Daphnia pulex: one gene and its partner. The protein of the gene in region 1 interacts with the protein of each later gene in a pairwise test. Links are inferred from orthologs where the notes say so. Each region holds a gene or a part of one and is shown in the gene's direction. Other genes may lie near its edges.

Region 1 (4,065 bases):
CAATAAATATTTACCTGTTACTGGTACTGTCTTGGATGGACCATGAATTGTGTAGCCACGGATTAATTGTAGGTTGGCCAACCGAATAGATGACTTTGTTCTCTCGAAGGCGGTACCCTTTCCGGTTTGTTATGATAGCAATTATCAGTTCTTTAAGAAATTGCTTGGTAGCTGCCAGTATCAGTTTGATGGCTTTGTCTTCACAACCATGATCCAAACCAGCATCCCAAGCTGCTACTAGCATTCGACCGTGAACGAGTCCAGCGTCAGGTAAAATTAGATCCTGGCTGCAGTAACGAAGCTGTGGTTTCTCTACAGTGCAAGGAGCAGAAAATGGTAACAGAGAAACTGGATTCACTGGTTGGAATCGATTCTAGATAAGAAAAGAATTATGTTAATCAAGGTCTCCAATGAAAATTCCAATAATTAAGACATATTACATCAAAGTTGACAGTGAGAGGCTTGTTCTTTGGGTAAACTTGTCTTGTCACAGTGATCGGTTTGATTTCAACAGAATTACGTTTCTGTAGAGGAATGGTATGTGGTCTGATTTTGTTCACTTCAGTGACAACAATTGGCTTTTGCTTCACACCATGATAGACATAGGTTGAAGGCTGGCACAAGCTTTGACATTTTGTAACAATGGCCAAAAGAAACTCATTGTGAAGATGAACTTGGTCTACTTTCAGGTACAATCTGGCTTGGCGATCAAACTCTTCTTTGCTTGTCTAAATAGAGAGAATGTCAGTTATGACTGAATGGATAGTATAAAAGAAACATTTCTTACCCTCATACAAAACCACGATTTCAGGTGGGCAAAATAACTAAATAAAACATGATATTAGAGATATACCACCACAAATATCAAATCTGATTTATTTACTTCTTAGAAGAATCTCCCAAAACATCCACCAACCGTTTCCTGGCTTCGTTAACATCAAGTGCATTCATTGTTGTTGTGTTCTGACTTTTGAACTGCTTCGCTCACTTTTTTAGATTTAACTCGCCATTGGATTTCGTCTACACCTGTCTTGCCTCGACTATCGAAAACCACCAAAAGATGGTGCTCATTCCAGGAATTGATTTTCATAAAATAATTTTTTCCTTGAATTTGTCATTGATAAATATAACGTGTAAAATTAGATAAAATCTTGTTCGTAAAATGTACAAATTATCATGAAATTGAAGTGAATTCCTCTTTTACGGTTTAAAACCAAGAGAAATAGGTGGCGTTGTAACACAACTTGGTTCGTAAGCCTATGAATTGTCGGCTGTGTCGTGTCGTGTCGATTCGATGTGGAGACAGTTGCGCCTCTATTTGTTATCGTGTATTATTACAGGCCCGATTTCCAGTTTTCCACGTTAGAGATTTACATTTCGACACCCATTACACAACTGACGTCGGTTCAGAGCCGTCCGGTTAGATCGGTAAAATAAAAAATACTGAAACCGAATAATTATTATTAGTGTGTCTGTATCGTCACCAAACTACAGCGAGGTTGGAACTCGAGGTGGTGAAAGCTAAACAAAAATGGCAAATATTGAAGTTACCGTCAAAACCCTCGATTCGCGTAATCATAAATTCACAGTTTCAGAGGAGGTAAGACCATTAAAAGAAACGACTCGTGAGTTTTAGATAGGGGAAACTAACTGGATTTCTGTTTTGCAGCTCACAGTCAAGGAACTTAAAGAACACATTGCTGGGGATGTAGGAACACCAGCAGAGACTCAGCGTTTGATTTACTGTGGCAGAGTTCTTCAAGATGACAAAAAGCTCAGTGAATATGGTAAATTGAAAATACTCTTTCCTAGCTCAAAACAAATGATTGGCATGTAAATGTTTTTGTGTTTTACAGACCTGAGTGGAAAAGTCATTCACTTGGTCCAGAGAGCACCTCCAACAGTTGGTAATCCTCCTTCAGGACCACCAAGAACTCAAGGATCTAGACCAGGAAACATTCACTACCACCTAGACAGAGGGTTTCAAAATGGTGCCAATCATTCATTTGGTAAATTTCTCATCATTATTAAAAGTAGAAATCTCAATAACAATGTTTACGATCAAATGAAGGTTCAGTACCAGCTCCAGCCGGAAGTAGTTCTCTGTTGCGTTTGAATACAGCCAGACACATGCTGGAGGATGCCTCACAGAGTTTGGGAAGGATCAGTTCAGTTCCCAGCACTGGTTCACTCTTTACAATGGATAATACTGCTGAGGGACCCTACTCATCCATACAAATGGTTCAAGCACAGGCTGCCACTGCTATAGCTGCTGCATTTTCAACTGTTCAATCCTTGGGGTAATGACAAACCTCCAAACTAAAAAACTAAAAATGTTAGTTACGTTTCTTTTTATCAGGGCAAACAATATTGCCGTGTTGCAAGGACCTAATGGATCACCAGCAGTTCAAGGATCGTTTGGTTTTCGGGTGCAAGGGCCTCAACCAAATAATCCACCAGAGAGTGGCAGTGGCGCGAGCGAACGCGTAAGTCCTACAGCTCCGACTTCAACAACACCCCCTTCAACAACTCCTCCTTCAACCACCCCATCTGCAACTCCTTCGTCGGCTCCTTCGTCAGCTCCGTCGTCAGCTGCAGCTCCTCCTGGTGACCAACAACCTCGACAACAGCAAATTCGAAATCCTCGAGTGTCTGTCTTTGCCGATGTCATCGAAGATATGGAACGGATCCAGCAGGATCTTCGCCCTCATTTGACAACCGTCCGTCAGCTCCTCAGAGATGATCCCGTATTGGACAGCACATCACCTGAATACCGGCAAGCACAACACACCTACAACCAGGTTCAGTAAAATCATATTATATTTTCCTTTCCATGTTTTTCAATTGATTTTTGATCCAAAAGGTAGCCGAAGGATTGCACTTTTTGGCCCACGCTTTTCACGCCATGAGCGATTTAATGGTTGACTTTGGAACTCCCCCTCCTCGTGAAGTCCGTGCTAGACCCTACGTCTACCAACAAGTTCTTTCATCGACCATACCCATTCACGCTTCAATCAGCGTCGAGACTACACATACCCACCGAGCTCCTCAGACACAGGCTAACCCAGCAGCTCCTGAGGCCGCTACAGCTCCTCAACCGCAACCAGCGCAAGCTCCTCCGCGATTGCCCACAAGAATATCTCCTCATGAGTTCATCCGACACGTTACCCGCCCACCCACTGCAGCTACTGCTGCCAATCCATCAGTTCCTCCAACTACAAATCCGACATTTCATGGTTGGCGGGCTGCTGGAACGACCGGAACGGGTGTAGCTAATGCATCGGCGCAGAATCCCCCAGCTCCAAGAGCCTCAGTCCAAATGCTGCACCCTGAAATGCTGGTCAGGGGAGGACCGCACCCGTTTGGACGTTTGCCTTTAGCCATGGCGAGTCAAGGAGGCTGGACCCCTGTCAATTTAGGTGGTCAAATGCATCCAATGTCGCTCTTTATGGAAGTTCGCTCGAACAACAATCAACAGGAAGATCAACAAGCGTCTCGTGGGCAATCACCAACATCTTTGGGCGAATTTGACGACTTTTTACCGTGTCATTCTCGACATGTTACCCGCTCGTCTTCATCCAGACCCGACACTGAGCGAGCCAGACCACGCCCAGTGGTTGTCACTTCCACGTCGGCGGCACAAGCTTTTCCCGGTCTCAATCAAACCCGTCCACCAGGCCCTGGAAATCAACCGACAGCCGTTCCGGCCTCCGTCGACGAATTTATGAACGAAATGTTTCGTCAGGTAATTGCGGCATTGAAAATTGCGAGAGGAAAACATTGATAATGATTGGTCATTAAATGGAAATTCAGGTGACGGCCAATAGCGGTGTACTATCAGGCGGGGTAGTAGCAGGTGGAACGAGTGGTGGAGATGGATCCAGCAGCCCTAATCCAGTGTTAACCAACGCCTTGTTTAGTAGTTTGCTCCAGGGAGTCATGCAAGAAGTTGCGGGTGTGGTGAGTGGCCATCAGTCGCCCAACACGGTGGCCCATTTCTTACGCAACATTCCTGATTTCACTTACACGGCCGGCGAGTCGTTCCTCTTTGACCTCTTTATGACT
Region 2 (3,277 bases), on another chromosome or scaffold:
TTTCTGTAATTTGATTCTGCAACACAAAACACTATCGATAATCAAACAGCATTCAACAACAGTGTAGTGGTTAAAAACAAAATGCGAGCAAAGAGAATACTTAGGCAGTCTTCAAGAACAGTTCCCCTTTTCTTTAACCAATGTGGTATTGAAACGGTGGCTTCCCACATGACCACAGCAATGCTGTCATCGTGTTCAGGCATTGGCTGTGCTGGCTGAGTGGTGATCACAGCGGGGGGAGCATCAGATTCAACCTTGGCCTCTGTAGTTGGTGGCTGAATTATCACCTCTATGATGGTCTCCTTGGTGGAAGATGAGGTCTGTTGTTCTTCACTGTTGTTGGTCATTCCTGTAATTTTATTCTGCAACACAAAACACTATCGATAATCAAACAGCATTCAACAACAGACTTGTAGTGGTTAAAAACAAATGCGATCAAAGAGAATACTTAGGCAGTCTTCAAGAACAGTTCCCCTTTTCTTTAACAATTTTGTGGTATTGAATGGAATTGATTAGTTAATTAATTTTACCTGAGCCATTGATGGCCGCTGGTTGATGTGGAAGAGAATACCATTACTTCACTTTCGAATGAAGACTGCAAATGGAAAACAGTAGACCGAGTTGACTAGATAATAGGCTGTGTTTATATAGCACGGCCTTATAGCAATGCGTCAGAACCATCTAACGGCAGTTTAGAAAAACACGAAAACACAAATTCGAGTATATAATTATGATTTCGTCGCAATATAAAAATCTAAATGCGACGGCTCCATGTAAAACCTTGTCTTGCACAAGATGATCATAATTTCCTAATTGTTTAACTCTAAGAAAAAAAACGTATAAAACATTAATGAAATAAACAACTTTCCTATCTCACTGAGAGGAACAACGCCATCTGTTGGTGTGGGTTGGGTTGGGTTGGGTCAGGAAACAGGTCTTTGGCGATAGAATCCCTATCGGGAAATTTTGACACACTCGCTAGAGGCGCTCACACGAAATGGGCAATTCGAGAACATGAACTTTGGACTATAGGGAAAATATACATGGAGTGCAGTGTTTATGATGTTTCCCCAACGCTACACATGACGACATGCATACCATTTCAAAACACCCTGTGGCGTCTATAGTTACGATACGTCACCAAACCCCACCGACCAATGAGCTTTTCCCACATTGAATCCAGTATTCTGCAGACGTCCTTTCCTATTTTCTGGCGCGTTGATACATTCTGAACAAGTGTAATATTTGCTGTTGTTAATTGTGGTAGTGGTCTAACCTAGGCTGTTAATTCGTGGACACTGCTTCTAACTTATAATCAAATTAAAACTTTTTTTTTCAAAATGCACTTGAAAGTGTTATTGTTATTTATTTGCCTTGGACTGGGAACCGTTTTAGCAGGGTAGGTAGCGAATCCAATTTACTTTTGTAACCGGCATTAACTTGTGACGATTTTCTAACGTGAGCATTTTTTCTTCGTTTTTACAGACGAGATTTTTATAAAATCTTGGGAATACAAAAATCAGCAAACACTAACCAAATCAAGAAAGCATACAGGAAATTAGCAAAAGAACTTCATCCTGACAGAAACAAAGAAGACCCTGAAAAAGCCAGTGCCCAGTTTCAAGACCTTGGAGCAGCCTATGAGACTCTTTCCGATCCAGAGAAGAGAGAACTTTATGATCGCTGTGGTGAAGAGTGTGTTTCAAAGGAAGGTGCAGGTGGGGGTGGAATGGATCCGTTCGCCAGTTTTTTTGGTGATTTTGGGTTTGGATTTGGGGGTAATGGTAACCAGGGTCAAAGGGAGGTTGCAAAAGGAGCAGATATTGTGATGGATCTTTTTGTTTCTCTCGAAGAACTTTACTCTGGAAACTTTGTTGAGGTAATGCTTTCATTAAAAAGTAAAGAAGAAAAGTGATTTTAAACATATATTTTACATTCTTTAGATAACACACAACAAACCTGTTCTAAAACCTGCAAAAGGTACTAGAAAGTGCAACTGCAGGCAAGAAATGGTAACCCGACAATTAGGTCCAGGAAGGTTCCAAATGATGCAGCAAGCTGTCTGTGATGAGTGCCCCAATGTCAAGTAATGGAGAAATCAAACTTAACAACGAATAGCAACTTATTATTCATGATGTTTGTATGAAACAGGCTTGTCAATGAAGAACGAGTTCTCGAAGTCGAAATCGAGCAAGGAATGACGGACGGTTTGGAGCAGAGATTTACTGCCGAAGGTGAACCACACACTGATGGAGAGCCAGGTGACCTCCGTCTACGAATTCAAACAGCTCCACATTCCACTTTTGAACGCCGAGGAGATGATTTGTATACCAATGTTACCATCTCTTTAGCGGATGCCTTGGCCGGTAAGTTGCAGCGCAGCAACGAATAATGTTTTAAATCTTGATAAATAACGGTCTATTCTGTTTTAGGTTTTGAATTAGATATTGAACACTTGGATGGACATAAAGTACATATCGTCCGTGACAAAGTGACTTGGCCAGGTGCTCGCATTCGTAAGAAGGGTGAAGGAATGCCAAATTACGAGAACAACAATCTTTTCGGCATGCTCTACGTAACATTTGACGTGCAGTTCCCGAAAGACGAACTCTCAACTGAGGTCAAGGAAAAGCTCAGGCAATTGCTGTCGCAAGATTCAATCAACAAAGTGTACAATGGCCTCAGAGGGTTTTAAAGTTCTTCGATGCATTTCGTGCATGTAAATTTTTACAATTTTTTTTTTTTTATTGAAAAAAAAAATCGCTGTGTCACTACGATCTACTTCTTGTTTCATTCTGCGACAGCCATAATTCCCGGTTTAAGTTGTATGCCACACAAGGATATAGCTCGGCACCGCATAAATTTGACATTTCTCATCGGATTTGAAATTCTCCAGAAAAACTGTAGGGGAGGCAATCTTGGGGGTCTTTTTTAAGGGTCGTACAAATGAATAGCGTTATATTCGCTGAGCAGCGGACTCATATCATATTATGGTTTTCTTAGTATACAGTTTTTTTTGCAAATACCTTTAAAAAATAATGAGACAGGATGTAGCCACCCAATAATGGAATGCAACCAATAACTGTCGTCGTTTGCATGTGGAATAAAAACGAAGAATTCTAAAAATATATTTTCTATAGGTTTGATTAGTAAATGTCAGAAAAAATAAATAAGATAACTTAAAGCATCTGCATAAAGACAGACTTAATGCAGTTCAATGGAATAAGGACAATTAGCTTCCAATTTCTTTTTCGTTTAGGCCTACAGCTACAGCCCT

What was found.
Region 2: the proteins of large proline-rich protein BAG6-like (region 1) and dnaJ homolog shv-like interact in a two-hybrid assay, tested with the Homo sapiens proteins (2 studies listed by BioGRID and IntAct). The link is inferred for Daphnia pulex from reciprocal best matches to the Homo sapiens genes BAG6 and DNAJB11.

What each region holds. Positions count from the first base shown.
Region 1 is NC_060023.1:11,638,803-11,642,867, reverse strand, and holds the start of large proline-rich protein BAG6-like, read left to right. Parts: upstream 1-1,265; 5' UTR 1,266-1,531; coding exon 1,532-1,600; intron 1,601-1,669; coding exon 1,670-1,787; intron 1,788-1,856; coding exon 1,857-2,009; intron 2,010-2,071; coding exon 2,072-2,300; intron 2,301-2,359; coding exon 2,360-2,801; intron 2,802-2,863; coding exon 2,864-3,745; intron 3,746-3,813; coding exon 3,814-4,065. Other genes in the region: transcriptional adapter 1-like, read right to left, coding at 15-373, 441-728, 788-824, 884-951. UniProt on the Homo sapiens protein: ATP-independent molecular chaperone preventing the aggregation of misfolded and hydrophobic patches-containing proteins.
Region 2 is NC_060017.1:5,991,590-5,994,866, forward strand, and holds dnaJ homolog shv-like, read left to right. Parts: upstream 1-1,161; 5' UTR 1,162-1,340; coding exon 1,341-1,399; intron 1,400-1,485; coding exon 1,486-1,879; intron 1,880-1,943; coding exon 1,944-2,086; intron 2,087-2,151; coding exon 2,152-2,366; intron 2,367-2,432; coding exon 2,433-2,695; 3' UTR 2,696-2,777; downstream 2,778-3,277. Other genes in the region: maternal protein exuperantia-like, read right to left, coding at 174-362, 531-539. UniProt on the Homo sapiens protein: As a co-chaperone for HSPA5 it is required for proper folding, trafficking or degradation of proteins.